Linked DNA regions of Callithrix jacchus. The protein of the gene in region 3 interacts with the protein of the main gene of each other region in a pairwise test. Links are inferred from orthologs where the notes say so. Each region holds a gene or a part of one and is shown on either strand. Other genes may lie near its edges.

What was found. The genes of interacting proteins can lie anywhere in the genome.
Region 1: the proteins of TRIM39 (region 3) and UBTD1 interact in binary tests that used the Homo sapiens proteins (3 or more experiments, as listed by UniProt). The two-hybrid records come from large-scale screens. The link is inferred for Callithrix jacchus from reciprocal best matches to the Homo sapiens genes TRIM39 and UBTD1.
Region 2: the proteins of TRIM39 (region 3) and PLCD4 interact in a two-hybrid assay, tested with the Homo sapiens proteins (2 studies listed by BioGRID and IntAct). The two-hybrid records come from large-scale screens. The link is inferred for Callithrix jacchus from reciprocal best matches to the Homo sapiens genes TRIM39 and PLCD4.
Region 4: the proteins of TRIM39 (region 3) and UBTD2 interact in a two-hybrid assay, tested with the Homo sapiens proteins (2 studies listed by BioGRID and IntAct). The link is inferred for Callithrix jacchus from reciprocal best matches to the Homo sapiens genes TRIM39 and UBTD2.

What each region holds. Positions count from the first base shown.
Region 1 is NC_133513.1:90,375,285-90,380,669, reverse strand, and holds part of UBTD1 (ubiquitin domain-containing protein 1), read right to left. Parts: intron 1,589-5,385; coding exon 1,361-1,588; intron 1-1,360. UniProt on the Homo sapiens protein: May be involved in the regulation of cellular senescence through a positive feedback loop with TP53. Is a TP53 downstream target gene that increases the stability of TP53 protein by promoting the ubiquitination and degradation of MDM2.
Region 2 is NC_133507.1:140,352,197-140,357,581, forward strand, and holds part of PLCD4 (1-phosphatidylinositol 4,5-bisphosphate phosphodiesterase delta-4), read left to right. Parts: coding exon 1-151; intron 152-1,790; exon of another isoform or gene 1,791-1,936; coding exon of another isoform or gene 1,937-1,979; intron 1,980-2,268; coding exon 2,269-2,497; intron 2,498-4,359; coding exon 4,360-4,489; intron 4,490-5,385. UniProt on the Homo sapiens protein: Hydrolyzes the phosphatidylinositol 4,5-bisphosphate (PIP2) to generate 2 second messenger molecules diacylglycerol (DAG) and inositol 1,4,5-trisphosphate (IP3).
Region 3 is NC_133505.1:35,066,377-35,071,761, reverse strand, and holds the end of TRIM39 (E3 ubiquitin-protein ligase TRIM39), read right to left. Parts: intron 3,970-5,385; coding exon 3,947-3,969; intron 3,373-3,946; coding exon 3,257-3,372; intron 2,179-3,256; coding exon 1,631-2,178; 3' UTR 164-1,630; downstream 1-163.
Region 4 is NC_133503.1:64,591,714-64,597,098, forward strand, and holds part of UBTD2 (ubiquitin domain-containing protein 2), read right to left. Parts: intron 1,187-5,385; coding exon 950-1,186; intron 1-949.

The DNA of each region.
Region 1 (5,385 bases), on a different chromosome or scaffold from region 3:
TCGCTCCCATGTGAGGACACAGCAAGAAGGCAGACACGCCTGCAAGCCAGCAAGAGAGTCCTCACCAAAACCTGAACCGGCAAACACCACGATGTGGGATTTCCCAGTCTCCCCAACTGTGGGAAATAAACGTCTCTTGTTTAAGTCACTCAGCATGTAGTGTTTTGTTATAGTTGTCTGAGCAGACTAATACACTGCCATGGCCACCCCACAGTCAGATCTCCCTAGGACAACCTGATGACCAGGTGTACAGGGCTGCAGTCAGGAAGACCTGAGCTGGCATCCTGGCTCTACCAGGTACTGGTTTGTTCATCCCTGGGACATCACTTTTCATTTGTTCACATGTGCCAGGTGCTGGGGTTACAGGGATGAATGAAATAGCACAGCTCTGCTCTCCATGGGCCTCAGTGTCCTTACTGGTACCATGTAATGCATGGAAAAATAAGTGTATTGTCTCTTGAACACTTAAGTGCAGGGACTAGACTGTATGATGTTATGTGCGTCTTGCTGAATCCTAATAATCATCTCCCCTCTATAGTTGTAAGGCACTCAGGCTCTAACTTCTAGAAGCTCCTTGCTAAAGGCAACACAATTAGGAAAGGAACACACTCAGGCTGAAACCCAGGTCTGGGACTCTAGAGCGCCACTGTTGTTACCCTCTGCTTTACACGGCCCCATAAGGCTGCTGTGAACTTACGTGAGCTAATGCAGTGGAAGTTTCTAGTTCAGTGCCCAGCACATAACCCAAGGTCCATGCCTTTGGGAGGCCGAGGTCGGTAGATCACTTGAGCTCAGGAGTTCGAGACCAGCCTGGCCAACGTGGTGAAACCCCATCTCCACTAAAAATACAAAAATTAGCTGGGTGTGGTGGCACGTGCCTGTAATCCCAGCTACTCAGGAGGCCGAGGCAGGAGAACTGCTTGAACCCAGAAGGCAGAGGTTGCAGTGAGCAGAGATCCCACCACTACACTCCAGCCTGGGCAACAGAGTAAGACTCTGTTTCAAAAAACATATATATAAAATAAAAAGGTCAGTGTCTTGGATGTTCTGGGGTCCCAACATGCATTTGTGACACTGCTTGGCAGGTTTGTTGATGCCTTTCTATTGTGTCATTAGGCAAGCACAGACTGTCTCATTTTCCTTATGTATCCACTTCTGGTCCATGCTCAGCAAGGATTGCTTGAATGAACGAATAAGTGAATAACCACCTGTTCCACCACTCCACACCGCTCAACACTCCCCCAACAGCTTGGATAGAACCTCCTGACACGTGGCTGGCCACCGGCTCTACTCTACCTGCAAACCGTGCTGGTGACCCCCTAGCTCCAGCGGGGATAAAGCCCTGGCCCTGCCCACTTACCATGAGGCAGGGTGATGCTGGCTCCATCCAGGATGGCCTGGGCCAGCTCATGGTCATTGGCCTCGGCAGCGTAGGCGGCGGCCTTGAGGGCATCCCAGATCTCCTTTCGACCCTCGAAGGCAGGTGCTGTGTCCCAGAACTCATCCCGTTTGCTCCGCAGCTGCCCGTCAGTCATGGGGTAGTCGCTCTTCCACTTCAGCCGTTCTTTCTTCAGGGGCTCATTGCGTCCTGGGCAGGACAGGAGAGGCTCAGCATCTCTAAAGGCACTTGAGCTGCAACCTGCCCTCCCGCTTCTTCCCCTCCCGGGGCCAAACCCTGAAACCCTGAAACCCTGCTGCTCTGGCTACCAAGTATTCAGGTCTCTGAAGCCCTTCCTAAACAGCAGGGAAGAGTCAGGAAAGCCCACATAACCAACCTGGGGACATCAAATAATTTTGTCAGCAGAGCATATGCTGCTGTTTTTTTTGTTGTTGTTGTTGTTCTCACGGCGCCCGGCTAATAATTTTTAATCATGTAAGAAGGGTGCGGTGGCTCAAACCTGTAATCCCAGCACTTTGGGAGGCAGTAGGATTGCTTGAGCCCCCGAGTTCTAGACCAGCCAAGGCAACATGGCAAAACCCTGTTTCTACAAAGAATTTTTAAAAATTAGCCAGGTGTGGTGGCATGCTCCTGCAGTTCCAGCTACGCGGGAGGCTGAAATGGGAGAGTGACTTGAGCCTGCAAGGTTGAGGCTGCAGAGCCATGATCGCGCGACACTGCACTCCATCCTGGGCAAGAGAGCAAAACCATGTCTCAAAAAAAAATTAACAATTTTAACATCTTTTAAGAAATCATAGCCAACAAACTCACCAAGAAACTCCTGCAGCATCTGACAAAGAAAACAATTCTGTCAAATGTCATTTTTCTTGTTGCCCAGTTTCAAGTGACCTCCAAGAATATTCCAAACCACAGTCAAGACTGAGGGTAGAGATGTCTCTCAAAGGCTTTCGGAGGCTCAGTCATCTCAAAGCTGATGGCAGAGTGAGTCACTGGAGTGAGATGTGAAGCACCCTGCTTCCACTATAACTCAGGTCCTACAGCGAGAGGCAGAACTAATGCTGGAGGCCATCACTAAGCTGCTCCCATTGGCTGGGGCAGAAGAAAGCAAGGAAGAGAATCGTAGGCAGGGACTGAGAAAGAACCCCAGGCAAGCCTGTATTTACATATGTGATCCCATTTCATCCTTGCAGTAGCCTTAGGCAGTAGGTATTATTATTGCTATTTCACAGATGATAGGACAGATTTAGAAAGATTAAATAACTTGCCTCAGGTCACATAGTAAGTGAGTGAGGGTTCCACCTCAGGTCTGACTAAATCCTGTAGTTTGCCATCTGAATTCACAGCTACCTGTAGGGGCAGAAAACTCTAAAGCCAAACATTTAAAGTATTCCCGGGGTGGTGAGGTGGCAGAAGGAAAGGCAAACCCTTTTTGGAGGAAAACAACTTCAGGACCAAGCCTCAAAGAATTCCCAAGATAAGTTCCAAGAAAAATAAGGTAATAGTTTTTTTTTAAAAATCCCAATATGCAAGGAACCAAGGCAATTAGAGCCAGCATTGGCAGACACTGTGGACACAAGAATCAGCTGTGCAAAGACTAGATAGGGAGTTTAACTGACACAGATTATGAAATACTGAGTTAAAGGATGAGAGCCTTAAAAATATGAATAAGGAATAAGAGATTATAAAGAATGACCAAGGAGATTTTTTTTACTGTTTAATTTTTGTGGGTACATAGTAGGTTTAACCAAGAAGATCTTAAAAGAACCATATAGAACTTCTAAAAATGAAAAATATAGGCCGGGCCCAGTGGTTCACACCTGTGATCCCAGCACTCTGGGAGGCTGAGGCAGATGGATCACTTGAGCCAAAGAATTTGAGATCAGCTTGAACAATATGGCAAAAACCTGTCTCTACAAGAAATAAAAAAAATTAGTGGGACATGGTCACATGTGCCTGTAGTCCCAGTTACGTGGGAGGCTGAGGTGGGAGGATCACCTGAGCCCAGAGAGGTTGAGGCTGCAATGAGCCATGATCACACCACTGTACTCCAACTCCAGCCTGGGCGATGGAATGAGACCTTGTCTCAAATAAATAAAAGTAAAGAAAGAAAAAGAAAATGTAATTGAGATTCAGATGTCTTTTTTTTTTTTCAAGAGACAAGGTCTCACTGTGTCACCCAGTCTGGAGTACAGTGGTGCAACCATAGCTCACTGCAGCCTCAAACTCCTGGGCTCAAGGTATTCTCCCCCATCAGCCTCCCAAGTAGTTGGGACTATACAGGTGACACTATACCCAGCTGGGGCTAATATTTTGAACCGAATTTCCAGAAGGATACAATAGGAAGAATGGGAATGAAGCAACATTCAAAGAAATCATGGAGATGCCCATTCCCCCTAAACTGATCTATAAATGTAATACAATTCCAATAGAATTCTTGTCAGCTTTTTCCCAAGGAACCTGGCAAGCCGATTCTAAATTTTATGTAGAAGAACAAAGATGCTCCTAGAGAAGAATAAAGTGAGATAACTTGCACTGCCATGATCAGCACTAATTATAAAGCTACAGTTGGCACAGTACTAGAACAGGGACTGTTGGACCAAAAAAAAGCCAACCCCTGTAAAATATTTGAAGAGATTTATTCTGAGCCAAATGTGAGGACCACGACCTGTGATGCAGTCTCAGGAGGTTCTGAGAACATGAGCCCAAGGTAGTTGGATTAGAGCTTGGTTTGATGTGTTTTAGGGAGACTTAAGATATCAGTCATTAAATGTGAGACATATATTGTGGCGGAAAGGCAGGACAACTTGAAGGGGTGGGGACTTACAAGTCTTAGGTGGATTTAAAGATGTTCTGGTTGGCGATTGGTTGAAAGTGTTATTATCTTAAGTCCTGGAATCAACGGAAAGGAATATCTGGGTTAAGATAAGGAGTTGTGGAGACCAAGGTTCTTATTATGTAGATGAAGTCTAATAGGTGGCCGTCTTTAGAAGTCATGGTTGGCAAATGTTTCCTGTTCAGACCTTTAACAGGTGCTAGATTTTCTTTCTTTTTTTTTTTGAGATGGAGTTTCCCTCTTGTTACCCAGGCTGGAGTGCAATGGCGTGATCTCGGCTCACCATAACCTCCGCCTCCTGGGTTCAGGCAATTCTCCTGCCTCAGCCTCCCAAGTAGCTGGGATTACAGGCACGCGTCACCATGCCCAGCTAATTTTTTGTATTTTTAGTAGAGACAGGGTTTCACCATGTTGACCAGGATGGTCTCGATCTCTTGACCTCGTGATCCACCCGCCTTGGCCTCCCAAAGTGCTGGGAGGTGCTAGATTTTTTAGCTAATCTCCTCTGGATCAAAGTCAGGTTGGAATTTGGTATGTTACTGCTACAGAGCCTACTTTGTCAGTCCTATAATCTCTGCTTTAATTTTTTTTTTTTTTTGAGACAGACTCCCGCTCTTTCGACAGGCTGGAGTGCAATGGTGTGATCTCAGCTCACTGCAACCCCTGCCTCCCGGGTGCAAGGGATTCTCCTGCCTCAGCCTCCTGAGTAGCTGGGACTACAGACATGTACCACCATACCTAGCTAATTTTTGTATTTGTAGAAGACATGAGGTTTCATCATGTTGCCAGGCTGGTTTCAAACTCATGACCTCAGGTGATCCACCCGCCTCAGCTGCCCAAATTGCTGGGATTACAGATGTGAGCCACCATGCCTGGCCTGCTTTAATGTTAATGCTGGTCAGTTGTGCATGAACTCCAAAGGAAGGAAGGTATAATGAGGCATGTCTGACTCCCCTTCCCGTCATGGCCTGAACTTGTCTTTCAGATTTCTTTGGAATCTCCTTGGCTGAGAAGAGAGGTCTATTCAGCTGATTGGAGGACTTAGAATTTTATTTTTGGTATACAAGACAAATGGGCCAACAGAGGAGAACAGAGAATCCAGAAACAGACCCAGGTGTATACAGAAATTTGCTTGCGGTGAGAAGGAACATTC
Region 2 (5,385 bases), on a different chromosome or scaffold from region 3:
ACCGATCAGGACTTGCTGCTAATGCAGGAAGGCATGCTGATGCGCAAGGTGAGGTCCAAAAGCTGGAAGAAGCTGAGATACTTCAGACTTCAGAATGACGGCATGACAGTCTGGCATGCACGACAGGCCAGGGGCAGTGCCAAGCCTAGCTGTGAGTTACCTAGATAGCAGGGGGTGGGTACATGGGTGGATAGGGTCTTGAGGAGCCCAGCAGCCTGAGGGCAGGGGAGGGACCAAAGTCCTACAATAGTGTGTGTGTGTTTGTGCTGTCCTAACTGGCTGGATCTGAGCCTGTAAAAGGAGATCATAACAGTACTTGCCTCATAAGGCTGGTATGAGGATTAAATTAGTTATTGTATATAAAGGGTTTAGAAAAGTCCTGGTAGGGCCGGGTGCGGTGGCTCATGCCTGTAATCCCAGTACTTTGGGAGGCCGAGGCGGGCAATTTTCCGAGGTTGGGCGTTCGAGACCAGCCTGACTAACATGGAGAAACCCCATCTCTACTAAAAATACAAAATTAGCTGGGCGTGGTGGTGCATCCAGTAATCCCAGCTACTCGAGAGGCTGAGGCAAGAGAATCACTTGAACCTGGGAGGCAGAGGTTGCGGTGAGCCAAGATTGCGCCATTGCACTCCAGCCTGGGAAACAAGAGTGAAACTTCATCTCCAAAAAAAAAAAGAGTCCTGTACATAGTAAGATGTAATAAATCATTGGTTATATCTTGTTGTTATTATAATAAGACCATGATCTCAGACATCAGCCTGCCTAAATGAAAGCCCTAGCTCTGCCACTTTCTGAGTAGCTTTGGACAAATCAAGTAGTTAAACCATGGCTGGGCATGATGGCTCAATGCCTGTAATCCCAGCAATTTGAAAGGTTGAGGCAAGAGGATTGCTTGAGACCAGAAGTTCAAGACCAACCTGGACAGCATAGGGAGACCCTGTCTCGACAAAAAATAAAAATAAAAAATTAGCTGGGTGTGGTGCTGTATGCCTGTGGTCTCAGCTATTTGGGAGGCTAAGATGGGAGGATCCCTTGAGCCCAGGAGGATGAGACTGCAGTGAGCTGTGATCACACCACTGCACTCCTGCCTGGGGAGCAAGACCCTGTCTCTAAAAAAATACATACAGACATACATACATACATAAATCAAGCTTTAGTTTCCTCATCTGTAAAATGGGGATTAAACGGTACCTGCTTAGTAGGTTACAAGGACTCAATGAGTTAATGTGTAAAAGACTTAGTATGGGATGTAAAACCAGGATGTATTTAATAAATGTTAGCCATTATGATAAATATTTTTAAATATAAAAAATGTGGCCGAGTGTGGTGGCTCACACCTATAATCCCAGCAGTTTGGGAGGCCAAGGCGGGTGGATCACCTGAGGTCAGGAGTTTGAGACCTGCCTGGCCAACATGGTGAAACCCCGTCTCTACTAAAAATACAAAAATTAGCCGGGTGTGGTGGCGGGCACCTGTAGTGTCAGCTACTCAGAAGGCTGAGGCAGGAGACTCACCTGAACCCAGGAGGCAGAGGTTGCAGTGAGCTGAGATTGTGCCATTGCACTCCAGCCTGGGTGACAAGAGGGAAATTCTGTCTCAGAAAACAAAACGTAAAAAATCATAACAGTGTGCACTTATTGACCAAACTCTTTATGATGACAGGACATAATTGGATCACAGGACGCATCTAAGAGAGTCTGTTTTAGAGACATAATTAAATTGCCCACAATCCGTATCACCCCCAGCTGAGGTAAGGGGGTGAAAGAATTTCTCTGGTTCCCTCGTAGGCATCTGGGAAGAGGAAGCTCTCAAACCTGGAAGGGGAGAACTGGACTTGGGCATATAATGCTTTAGTAGAACTGCTTCTGCCTTTCAAATGTGTTTCCATTTGTCATCCACACCAGTCCTCCTGTGATCACCATTGGGGCTGCCTATGGAAGGGGACTATCCATTATTTCAGATGAGGACACTGAGTAGTTAAGTCATTTTGGTTTATGTCATACTGCCAGCTTGTGGCTAGAAGCCATGTCTTGCCACTTCCAGCACAGGCTCTTTGCTGTGCTGCCTTTGAAAACATCAGTGATTCATGTGGACTCCTGAATCCCTGGGGCATCTCTGTACTAATGCTTTTTGGGATTCAGCCTGCAGAGGCTGGGGTTCCTTTCTATAGTGTTAGGGAGAAGGGGGTGCTGGTCTTTCACCCTTAGCCCCTGCTATTTGCTTGACTCCCTTCCTCAATGCCTCCACCTGCTTCTTCTCTGGCAGTTTCAATCTCTGACGTGGATACAATACGTAACGGGCATGATTCTGAGTTGCTGCGTAGCCTGGCAGAGGACCTCCCCCTGGAGCAGGGCTTCACCGTTGTCTTCCATGGCCGTGCCTCCAACCTGGACCTGGTGGCCAACAGTGTTGAGGAGGCCCAGATATGGATGCGAGGGCTCCAGCTATTGGTGGATCTTGTCACCAGCATGGACCATCAGGAGCGCCTGGACCAGTATCGGCAGGATGGAGTCAGTGTTGGGGGTGGGGGATCACTCTATCCCTGAAGGAGCCAGATGCAATAGGTCTAGGAAAGGTGAGAAGGGGTGCAGGACTAGGGAGGCCCAAGGGTCTAGATGGTATGGGCGGGGACAGCTCAGGCCAATGTGAGACTGAGACTACTGAGGGAGGAATGGAAGCCAGGGATGACAAAGCCAGGCATGAGTCAAGACCCCCAGGATTGGAGGAAGAGACAGTGAGAGGCAGAGGAGCAAATAAGATGCTGCTCCTAAGAGCTGCACAGAAGATCACAGTGACATTAAATAGCATATAGGTGGGAAACAACCCCTTAGAAGGCTCAGTGATACAGACTCACTTCAAGTGTCCTAGATTGTATGCCATTTCATTCATTTATTCATTCATTCACCACCTGTTAACCAGAATGTATCAGGCACTATGCCAGACTATAGGGGTACAGTGATTAAGGAGACTCATATATTGCTTCAGTTAGTGAAGAGGATGGAATTGTGTAAATAATTTTTTTTGGCCAGGCACAGTGACTCACACCTGTAATCCCAGCACTTTGGGAGGCCAAGGCAGGCAGATCACTTGAGGTGAGGAGTTTGAAACCAGCCTGCCCAACATGGTGAAACCCCATCTCTACTAAAAAAAAAAATACCAAAATTAGCCAGGTGCGGTAGCTCACTCCTGCAATCCCAGCACTTTGGGAGGCCAAGGCGGGCAGATCACGAGGTCAGGAGTTCAAGACCAGCCTGGCCAACATAGTGAAACCCCATCTCTACTGAAAATACAAAAATTAGTCTGGCATGGTGTAATCCCAGCTTCTCAGGAGGCTGAGGCAGTAGAATTGCTTGAACTCAGGAGGTGGAGGTTGCAGTATGCCAAGATCACACCACTGCACTCCAGCTTGGGCAACAGGGTGAGACTTCGTCTCAAAAAAACAGACAAACAAAACCCAAATTAGCTGGATGTGGTGGTGCACACGTGTAATCCCAGCTACTTGGGAGGCTGAGGGAGGAGAATTGCTTAAACCTGGGAGGCAGACGTTACAGTGAGCTGAGATCCTGCCACTTCACTCTAGCCTGGAGGACAGAGTGAGATTCCATCTCAAAAACAAAATAATAATAATAATATATATATTTTTAAATAGAAACAGGGTCTTACAATATTGCAAAGACTGGTCTCGAACTCCTGGGTTCAAATGATCCTCCTTAGCCTCCCAAAGTGCTGAGATTATAGGCATGAGCCTCTGTGCCCAGCCTGTGTAAATAATTTAAGTGCCGTAGAAGTATTATGGTACTTAGATTACTGCAGATATTCAAAGGAATTTTTTTTTTGAGACAGAATCTCACTCCATCACCCAGGCTGGAATGCAGTGGCGCAATCTCTGCTCCATGCAACCTCTGCCTCCCTGGTTCAAGCAATTCTTATGTCTCAGCCTCCCTAGCAGCTGGACTACAACAGGTGTGTGCCACCATACCCAGCTAATTTTTTGTATTTTTAGTATGGATGGGATTTCGCCATGTTGGCCAGGCTGATCTTGAAACTCCTGATCTCAGGTGATCCACCCACCTTGGTATTCCACAGTGCTGGGTTTTCAGGCGTGAGCCATTGTGCCTGGCCAGAATATGGATTTCTTTCTGCAGGCAACAGGGAGGTCCCTGCAGGTGCCTGAGTCATACAGTGACAAGACAGATTGGTGCTCTGGAGAGGTTATTCTAGAAGCTGTGTGGAGAATGGATTGGCACTGGGGAGAAACTGGCAGGAAAGACGGGAGAGATATCAGTGGATGAACGTGCACACACAACTGCACACACAAACACATATATTAGTGCTTTTGCCTTGACTCAGACCTGGATGGCTGAGTGACTGGTTTCAGCGTGGAGACAAAAATCAGGATGGTAAGATGACTTTCCAAGAAGTTCAGCGGTTACTGCACCTAATGAATGTGGAAATGGACCAAGAATATGCCTTCAGTCTTTTTCAGGTGAGTCTGCGGGGAAGAATTTTCAGTAGCCAACCAGGCCACATTTTCACTGGGCCAGAAGTCCTCAGACCCCAGTCTGAAACACTCAATTGTTAAATCTCTGCTCTGTGCCCTGAGTACTAGGCTCAATGCCCTATGCTCAATGGGAAGTGTAAGGGGTGATTCTTGCTTTTCAGTCTTGTTGAAAAGTCATAATTCATAATGAAAGGTAAATAACAATATGTTATTATGTTGGACCTCAAGGACTTCTCTGTTCATGGCTAGAATTTCACAGGTGCCTAGAACAATGGAAAACCCCAGCTGGAATGTAAGTAAATAGCAGGAGGGATCTTCTGATCTTTTAGGGGACTTTGGGAGATTTAACTATTTCTAGTTGAAAATTTTCTTTAGTAGCAAATGGTATGGCTAAAATTTTGCCTCTTACTTAGGAAGTGATTTATTCTATGAATACTAAATGTTAGTTCCATGGGAGTTTTATGGAAACATGTTTGGATCTATCTGCCTGTAAGATTTTTTTTTTTTTTTTTTGAGATGGCGTTTCGCTGTTGTTACCCAGACTGGAGTGCAATGGCATGATCTCAGCTCACCGCAACCTCTGCCTCCTGGGTTCAGGCAATTTTCCTGCCTCAGCCTCCCGAGTAGTTGGGACTACAGGCATACACCACCATACACAGCTAATTTTTGTATTTTTAGTAGAGATGGGGTTTCACCTTGTTGACCAGGATGGTCTCGATCTGTTGACCTCGTGATCCACCCTCCTCGGCCTCCCAAAGTGCTGGGATTACAGGCTTGAGCCACCACGCCCGGCCCAAGATTGCTCTTACAGTGCAAGTCAAGATCATATTTCCAGCCAGGCATGGTGGCTCACACCTGTAATCCCAGCACTTTGGGAGGCC
Region 3 (5,385 bases):
TCTGTTTCAAAAATAAATGAATAAAATAAAATGTAGATGCCAAGGCTCACCCCAGACCTTGACTAATCACTAAGGGTGAGACCCAGGAACATGCATGTTTAACACCCAGTGATTCTTACACATCAGTACAAGGCTATCACCAAATTACCACACAACACAGAGATCACTTCAGTGGATCCTTTGTTCCATATTATTTTAACCAACCAAAGTATCTTGCCACAAAGAACCACAATCAAGGCACAAAGGTAAGAGGAGGAGAGTCTGGACAAAGTCCTGTTGAGGTGGTAGGAGGAACTGAAATGCCCTCAATAAACTGCAGATTCTTCTCAGTCATTTCTGTGAAGATTACCCAAACAGCAGATAATCCAAATTAGTTTAGTTTGGTTTGGCATGCATCACTTTTACCTTTTATGACAACATATGTACCCTATAAGTTGTTTATTTTGGCCTAACATGAAAATCATTTACATTCTCTGAAAAGGGAAATGGCAAAGGGTGAGGGATGGCAACAAACAAGCAAAAGCCTGGCTTTTGTTAACACCAGTTCCAGGACAGATGCACACAGGCCAAAGAAAGTTGCCTATTTGGCCATTCCCTATACATCACCCTCTTCTACCCTGCCCTTAGGGTGAGGAAGACTCTATTACCTTTCTTCCTTTCTGGCTTGGATACCTTGGCCAGGTAACAAGGCTGACAATTTGGGAGTAGCTACTTCATAACATTCTTTACGGCCAGGGCTTTGGATACAAACCTTTCTCTTTCCTCTAATACCTGACTCTCCTTTCCAATTTCTCTTGGGAAAACTGTGAAAGGATAGATATGTCTTGCAGGATCTCTTCTACCTTGGCTCTGGAGAGGAGCAAGGTGACTGACTTCTTGGTGTAAAGAGGCAGGCAATCAGCCAACTCTGCTGAAGGCTGAGGCAGGGACCTGGGTTCTCCTCTGCTTTCTTTTCAGCCTCTCCTTTCCACATTCCTACCTCTGGCCAATACTACCCATAATGGCAATCTTACCCTTGGAATGGAAGACCAAAAAACCTCCTTCCCCTTTGTTAATCTCTAGGAACTTGTTCCTTTACCCACTTCCCTGATCTTCTAACCTTGTTGATGTCCAACCTCTGCCCTCAGAAAAACTCTTCAACGTTGAGACCCATGAGAGCATCTGTCATTCATCTTTCTTTAATTTAGAGGTACAGACTCCTGTGATCTACCTCAAGAAGCAAGACTATCCTGGGTCAAAGAACCCCCTAAAAGATGTGCAGGGGTTTCTGTTTCCTCCTCTGGTTTGAGAAAGTCAGACCCTCACAGATTTTTTTTTGTTTGTTTCTGGAAAAGCCTCTCCTTCCTTCCCAACCCTTCCTTGTGCAACAGAAAACCTGATGGACTTCAGGGCAGATAATCCTCTGGGAACCAGCTCCTTGCCCTGACAGGAGGGAGACACAGCTGTGCTCTCTCATCCAGCCCAGTCCTACCTCTCCCTCCACCCAAAACCATCCTAGAAACTGAGGTGTTTCTCCAAGATGATTCGGGACTGGAACCAGGTGGACACGAAGACGTTCCAGCAGGACACAGGAAGGAGGCCCGTAGCACTTGACCCTGCCTCACCCCAGTTATTCCCACATCCCAACCTGTCACTCCCAATCTGTTGGGGGTCTGATGGTAAGTGGTGCAGCATTCTTCCGTCCAGCCCGGATGCCCGGGTAGAAGAGGGGCCAAAGTTTCTCAGTAAAAGTATCAGTGAAAGTGTAGATATGAGAGCGGTCTGTGACATTGTAGAAAGACAGTGTGCCGGCCTCATAGTCTAGGAATATGCCTACCCGCTTGGGTTTCACCTTGATGTGCAAAGGGGTAAAAGGTGTGGTGGTGGCTGCGTATTTGTCCCCATTCCATAGCCGCACCCGCCAGTAACCAGTCTCAGGGAGTGGAGTCAACTCGCCCTTTCGGCTCACAGAGTCCCGGCACACACCCACTGCCCAGTGGGTTTTGTCGCCCACCTCCACCTCCCAGTAGTGTCGACCTGAGGTGAAACCCTCAGTAGCCAGGACGCAAGGGTAGAAGGTGAAACGCCTTGGTGTATCAGGAAGATCCCGGAGTCTTGTCTCCACGAACTTGACACTCTTACGATCCTCCGACAGGACTAGGTTAGGATGAGCCGTCTCAGGATCCAGGGTCACATCCGCTGGCGGGAGAAGCCAGAGTGGGGAGCTAGATGAGGATGGGAATAGCTAAACGCCCCTGCCTCACTCTTCCAGCCTGCCTTACAGAGCCTGGTCCCTTAAAGGTCCCCAGAACAACACGGTTTGGTTAACTTTCTCAATCCATGGTGTCACCTAAGGCAGGGGAGAAAGCAATGGCTCATTTCTCACACTGACCCTGAAGTAAACATAATCTCTTGACTCTGCAGGGGCTGGTAATCTAGGTTCCCGCCTGGTCTTCTCTTCATCTCCCTCTGACATCATCATTTATTTTACTATGTAGACAAGTACAAGGTACAGCCTGAGAGCCAGAGAAAATGGAAAGTGTTAAGAAGAATGCAGAGCAAGACAGCGTATGGCCTAGGGATAGAGTGACCATGTGTCTATTTTCTGAGAACTGGCCTCGTTTATGACTTTATGACTATTTTTCCCTGCATATTAACATTAATATAATGATACTCCCTTTCACTTTACTTTTTTTTGAGATGGAGTCTCGCTCTGTCCCCCAGGCTGGAGTGCAGTGCCACAATCTCAGCTCACTGCAACCTCCACTTCCTGGGTTCAAGCAGTTCTCCTGCTTCAGCCTCCAGAGTAGCTGGGATTACAGGTGCGTGCCACCACACCTGGCTAGTTTTTGTATTTTTAGTAGAGATGGGGTTTCATCAAGTTGGCCAGGCTGATCTTGAACTCCTGACCTCAGGTAATCCTCCATCCTTGGCCTCCCAAAGTGCTATGATTACAGGTGTGAGCCACCCAGCCTTTCAAGGTTATGCAAGTTTACATGGTAAATTATATAATCACTCTACCCGGTGACTTTGGCAAATTATTTAACCTTTCTGGGTCCCTATAGACAAGTATTGACCTAAGAGTAGACAACACTTAAGGCTTCCTCTCACTCCAAGTTCTGTAACTCAGGGTGACAGTAAAAGCCAGGTAAAGGGGTAGGTGTGGGTGGGAGTAAGAAAAGTGAGAGATGGGATAACTCAAACCCATATAAGGTAAGACCTAAAAGCTTTCTTCTCTCTAGTGTTTCCTTCTAGTTTCCTTTTGGTAACAACTCACCAATTAGCTGTTTAAGGATTTTCCTTAGGGCAAAGTACTGTCGGGGGAAATTGCTGAAGTTCTTTTCCAGCTCTATGGATACTGAAGTCACCTCCATGGTCTTCACCTTCTCACATCTAGGAAGGATAGGGAGACAGGGAAGAAAGGGTGGAGTCAGGGGGAAGCTCCAGCCAAGTGACTATTCAGATGTTAACATCTTTAGGGAGTAAATGAAATTCTCTATCTTCCCTCTTTCTTCCTCCTCCATGAAGAGCTCACCTTTTGCTTTCTTTTAGTAATCCAAGGAGAGCCTTATGATCTTGTGGACAGATCCTAATTTTGAGAGTGAGCCTCAGAACTTTCTAAAAATATTCCTATATTTCATGCAAATGGTTGACTGTCCTTCATGCTCTCTGAACTCCTTCTTCCTGCCATCTTGTTTGGACACAGTTCCACCCACTGGCACAGTAGAATCTGGTTCTGCCTATCATTCTCCTTCTCAAGGAGTCCTGACGTTTACAGGGGAAAAGGGATTATTATTCTCAATAATTTGTTCTCTACCTGGCTTCATGGGGTCAATGAACCTTCTCCCATACCCTGCCCAGATGCTACATGACTTTCCCAATCTAATCCCTGACCCAAACTCCTGACTGTACCCCTCCTCTCTAAGCCAAGACCTAACTCACTCAAAGAGATATAACAATCACTTACTTTTCCAGGGTACTTTTGACATCCTAGAAGGAAGGAGAAAAGAAAGCAATATTGGTCCTGGTAGTCAACGGTCCTGAATGCAAAAGGTTCCCTTTCCTCCCCAAAGTTCCACAGCTACAAAATAGGCGTAGGATAAACTGAGGGTCACACAATGCAAGAAGAGCTCCAGAGGGACCTGAATGTACTTCTTTCAACCTAATCCCTACTTTCAATTTTTGGTCATCATGAAACCTGGTCATTTATATCACTTCCCAATTATTTCTTTTATGTTTGTCTTTGCTCTTCAAGGGTGCTGGGAGCTCCCTACAAGAATCAGGGATTGTGTCAGTCTTTACTCTGTCCCCCAAGTACCAACCACATATCTCAGTCTCCTTGAGGATCAGTACAGAGAGTTCCGGACTGGTGGCATAGGAACAAATCACACATTCCTGTTACCATTTGGCATCCCTTGTCTTGCATTAGTTAATAAACATTATTAGCTGGTCAGGCACAGTAGCTCATGCCTGTAATCCCAGCACTCTGGTAGACCAAGGCAGGTAGATCACTTGAGATCAGCAGTTCAAGACCAGCCTGGCCAACATGGTGAAACCCCATCTCTACTAAAAACACAAAAATTAGCCGGGCATGGCAGTGTGCACCTGTAATCCCAGCTACTTGGGAGGCTGAGGCAGGAAAATCGCTTGAACCCGGGAGGTAAAGGTTGCAGTGAGCCAAGATCATGCCACTGCACTCTAGCCTGGGCAACAGAGCAAGATTCCATCTCAAAAAAAAAAAAGAAACAATAAACATTAATAACTGAGGGCTAATACTGATTTGTGAATACTTGGGGTCCAGAAGACAAAGAAGACAAATCTCTGTCCCACAGGATTTCCCAGTTTAATGTGGAAAGCAGAACACACATACATGAAAGGACACAGGAATAAATACCAAGCAATACATAACATAAATGTACAATGAAGCCTCACTGATTGAAATGCTGGTAATCTAATCTCTAAGATTAAAAAATATGTTCCCTACAGTTTTGCTAACATCATTCATTTACTTAAGAGAACAAACTATTTCAAACACTTTAGAGGTATTATTAATATTTACATATCAAAAGCAAATTATTATTTATACATAATTTCAGGCTCCCTCATTTTATTGCACTTTGCTTTACTGTGTTTTGTTGACACTGTGTGTTTTTCAACTGGAAGGTTGGTGGCAACCTGTGTCGAGCAAGTCTACTGGCACCGTTTTTTCCAACAGCATGTGTTCACTTCATGTCTCTGTAACATTTTGATAATTCTCACAATATTTCACACTTTTTCATGATTATATCTAGTATGAGTTGTGATCAGTGATCTTTGATGTTACTACTGTAATTGTTTTGGGGAACTTACATGAACTGCATTCATATAAGATGAAAAACTTAATCGATAAGTATGTTAAATATTTTA
Region 4 (5,385 bases), on a different chromosome or scaffold from region 3:
CATAAAGCAGATGATTAGATAGCAAAAAATCACTGTTCCTCTATGAATGCTGATAAAGGGAGATACAGGGGATTAAAAAAATGATGGTATAATAATGAATAGAAATAAATGAAAGGTGGTTATTACACAGATCTGACAAGACAATCTTGAAAAATATTAACTTGAAAAACTAAAGAGAATACTGAGAATATTAATACAGAAATTAAAAAAAAAACAAAAAATATAAATACAAAATTAACACCTAAATCTCAATATGGCATGAAAATTTTTCATGTTTCTGATTAAGGAGATCAAACAAAAGTACATGCATGGAACTAGCATGTGTGCATTCCCAGACACATTCAAAGCTTATGGTTATCCTAAAAACAGTCATATTTCTACACAAAACAGAAAAGTTCCTGATAATGCTCAGGGCTACAATAATGGCAAACTGTCCTTAAAAACATGTGGATCTAACTTCTACATTACTATGCCAAAAATAGGCTTGATGAGAAAGTATAATAACTAAACAGAGCATCCTCGGAGTCTCTACAGCTTATAAAATCTAAACTGAGACTCAATCTCTAGTGATGGTAGAAGGAAACCAGTGAAGTAGAAGCTCCAACAGACTGACAGTGGGATGGGGCTGGTAAAGTAGGGGTGGCAGGGTGGAGAGAAGAGGTCTTCATGGAGAACTAGGTTAAACAGAAACTTTTGAGATGCTCAGAGTTCTTTTCTGAGATTAAGATATATTAAAAAAAAAACAAAACAAAAATACAAACACACCAAGTAAAACCTGTCTCCAGCTGAAAGATGTATAAGAAAAAAAGAGGAATGCTATTCCTTGCTACATTAAAAAAAAAAAAAGTTAGAATAATTTATAGCAAGGAAAAACTCTCCCATTTGTTTTCTTGCTATAAGAAACAAAGCTGATTATGTTCCCTCTGTCCTTGAGGAACACCAAACCTACCATGTGGTAATGTTATGTTTGCACCATCAATGATTGCTTGTGCCAGTTCATGATCATTGCTCTCAAAAGCATGTGCAGCAGCCTTCAAGGCATCCCAAATCTCTTTTCGGCCTTCAAAAGCTGGTGCAGTATCCCAAAATTCATCCCTCTTGCTGCGCAGTTGTCCATCTGTCATAGGATAATCGCTTTTCCATTTTGGTTTCTCCTTTTTCAAAGGCTGGTTACGACCTAGAGCAACTGAGAAGAAAAATAAAAGACTGAGATCAAAACCAAAACTTATAAAGTATATATCACAAGTTATCTGGTCATTCCCTCTTTTGGATTATTTCATCAAAATGACAGCCAGAAATTTGCCTGCTAGCTAATGTGTGCATTCTAAAATTCCTCTTAACATATTCTGGAACTACAAAAGTGAACAGAGACATTAGATGGCTCTGTGCAAAACAAATTGGTAGCTCTTTTCCACCCAGTACACCCTCTCTACAGGATCATTACAAAGAATTACAGGCTGAGGTGGAAGAATAGCTTGAATCCAGGAGTTCAAGGCTAGCATGGGCAACATCGTGAGACTCCCCCCATCTCTACAAAAACCACAAAAATTAGCCTGGCATGTTGGCATGTGCCTGTGGTCCCAGCTACTCAGGAGGCTGAGGTGGGAAGTTTACTTGAGCCTGGGAGGTTGTGTTTGCAGCGAGCCACGATCACACCACTGCACTCCAGCCTGGACGAGAGACCCCATCTCACACAATACAAAACAAAAACACCCAGAGAATTATAGTTGTAATGAATGTACCACTTTGGTGGAGGATGTTGATAATCGGAGAAAGGAGGCTATGTATGTGTGGGCACAGGGAGTACATGGGAAATCTCTGTACCTTCCTCTTAATTCTGTTATGAACCTAAAACTGCTCTAAAAAAATAAATATTTTTAAAAATACAATAAAAGTTTTGTTTCGTTCATTTTAAAAGAACTGCCGAGAAGGTAGGTGTTTCTTCAGACTGTAATAGCAGGATACGAGAGTCAAGAGACACCATACAAGAGAGGCAAGATACACTGGGAAAGCCAAATGGCAACTGCAGCTTAGACACATGAAACCAGGAATTAGGAACTGAGAAAATCCAAAGAGGCAAAAGACTGCTTTTTAGTGTCCAGAGAAAGAAAAGCCAAACAACCAGAATCATGAACAAACAGATTACAGGAATACTTCCTCTAGCATTCTCCTCTCTGGACTTTACTCAAGGAACTGTAAATACCTTTCTCTGTAACTCAAACAGGAACTAATTTACAAAGGGTAGAATCAGCACTTTACTTTTTTTGAGGAACTGGGAATAAAAGAGATAATCCTTGATTCTAGGCCAAGGGATTAGCTCCCAACCACAAGGAACAGAACTACAATATCCTACCCTAGTTTCAACCCAAAAGAAGAAGAAAACAGAGGCAAGTGCAGCATCTCCCCTTAGAGAATGTTATGTCGTCGTCGTCATTGTAGTAGTAGTAGAACAAGTCTGATACAACATCCTTGCATCCACATACCTACCTGGTGTATTATCTGTGATCTATTTTCACAGGTCATACTGACCTACAGAGCTATTCTTATTTATGGCTCTGTAGGATTATACAGTGCTATAGATAGGAAATAGTTTGATAGATGGGATAGAAGATAAAAAGAAAATTGAAGCTGGATGAAAAGAGAAGAGTGTTGGAAAAGAGTGGGTGGGAAATAAAATGACAGAGCAGGTGGGAAGGAGAGAGGGTATGTGTCAAAATTCAATGTTCTATATTTAATTGCAGAAAGAATACCAATTTTAAAGAAACCACTCTCAAACTGGTTCTAAAGCATCCATGAAATTGACAATTCTCTCATTGGCCCAGGGCCAAATGAAATTTGGGCTATGCAAAACAGAAAATAAAATGACTCCAGACCCTGGGCTATCTGTACTCTCCAGGTCTTATCTCTCAGATAAGACCAACAAAGACTGCCAAGGCAAGTCTCTTCTGTCCTCTCCCCTTCAGGGTGGCATACCATATTACCACCAGCTGTTTTCCACTTAAAACGCTCAGCATTAACTCAAATACTTTTTGCCTTCTAACTTGTCCTAGTGAAATGCAAAACAGGTGAGTTCTAAACGGGTGGGAAAACAGAGTAGGAAACCCATCCTTTAAAGTAGTAGAGCTGGAAACCAAATCCAAGTCTCCTTACTTAATCAACAAATATGTACTGAGTGTCTATTATATTTAATTCAAATGTGAGAAACACAGTCTATACTAATGATTTTTTCTCTGCTTCTTCCAAATAATACAGATTATGCAGCTAGAGCATAATTCCCTAAAAGATGTTCAGAATGTGTCTGATAACCACAACCTACCGATTGCACCAGTACAATGGAATGCAAGGTAGCCTTTATTTTCTGCTACATTATTGTTTAGATAAGTTAGAGACAGTTTACGGACAACACTCAGCTTACTGACCAGGAGGAGGAGGAAGATGGCACAGTAAGTATGCAGACTCAGTAAGATTCTATCTAAATGAAATTTTGGGTCTACCTGAATATTTCTTTTTTCTTTTTTTCCTACCTGTTTCTACAGAATTATCTGATCTCATATGTACTAAATCCATGAGAGATAACTTAGTATAATTTTTCCTGTCATTCTGAGAGAATCACAAAGCACGGGCAAAAACAATAAAACCTCTACAATCTCAGGACCTAAAACTAAAGCAAATGAAAGTAAGAGGCCCTTGAAAAGAGGAACCTAACAGAAAAACAATCATAATATGTGTACAAAGTACCCTGGAAAAATTGTAAAACACCTTCCTTACAAATGTGAAGTAGGTTCATTTCATCTCTTTCCATTTGGCAGAGAACAAAGTCCCACAAAAAGAATAGATGATGCATTTATGTTGCTTAAGGAAAATAATTCCAAATGCATTTGCTATCTATCTATCTATCTATCTATCTATCTATCATCTATCTATCATCTATCTATCTATCTATCTATCTATCTATCTATCTATCTATCTATCTATCTGAGACAGAGTCTTGCTCTGTCACCCAGGCTGGAGTGCACTGGCATGACTGGGCTCACTGCAACCTCTGCCTCCTGGGTTTATGCGATTCTCCTGCTTCAGTCTCCTGAGTAGTTGAGACTACAAGCATGGGCCACCACACTCAGCTAATTTTGTGTGTGTGTTTTTAGTAGAGACAGGGTTTCACCATGTTGGTCAGGCTGGTCTCAAACTCTGGACCTCAGGTGATCCTTCTGCTCAGCCTCCCAAATTGCTGGGTTTACAGCACCATGACAGGCCCCAAATGCATTTTCAAATCTACATGCTGTCAAAAGCTTCACAGTAATTATTCTGCAAAAGACAAAAATAAATGCTTGTGACATGAAGGAAGATTACTTTTGTCTATTTCTGCCTGTATTATAAACATACATAATATAGAGTATCTGTCTATATAATACCCATTGTTAAAATGATTAAATCTTTGGAACATAATTACTTTAGTGAAACCCCAGAGCAGTGTAGAATTTTCACTATAAAATCGGAGGTTTCAAGTTTCATATTAAACTAAATGACTAACTTTTGTTAAATAAATAATTGGGAAAAATACTAGCATTTAGCAAAAGCATTTGAACTATCCTCTCATGAAAACATGAAAATATTTAGGGTTAAGAGGACTTAAGTTCATATTCATAAAAGCACTCATAATGAGTGATATACAATAAAACAGCAAACAAGGGTTTACTTAATAAGTAAAAACGAACTTGGAGGCACTGCATGAATATCTTTAAGCCCCTTGACAAAAATATACAGGCTGTCTTTTTTCTTTTCATAATTTCCAAATCCCTTCCTTAAATGTTAAAGAACTGTCCTATGACTGCCATGCACTTTCTGTGCCTTTATCAGAGTACACTTTCTTGGCATTTGTTCACCAAATCTTACCCTTTGATTTCAGGTGTTATCACAAACCTGTATTTCTGAAAATGCAGTACTTGGACATAGTTATCAGCCTGGCAGCTAAGTACCTCATGTTTGTACCAAGCTAAACATTTTTATAAGACATGGAATATAAATACTAAACTAAATTTCATTTTATGCTCTTAAACTAACAGTTTTATCTGTTTCACACATTTTCTCACTGCTGATACCATAAGAGAGATGCTTGGTATCATTCATAGTACACAGGACTAGATACCATGCTCTAACAGTGAAGAATTTTAACAGTGAAGAATTAAAAGACAGAAAACATCTTTTATTCCCCAAATTTCTGTTTCTCTATCCTTAAATGGTAGGCAACAACCATCTTTAGTTTTCTATGGATTAGCATATGAGAAATAAAAAATTAATAAAGCTACTTAATTTAAAAAAAAACACAATCTATTTCAGAAAATATCCTTTCCCCCATCAATCCACATTTACCACTTCTTTCAAAAT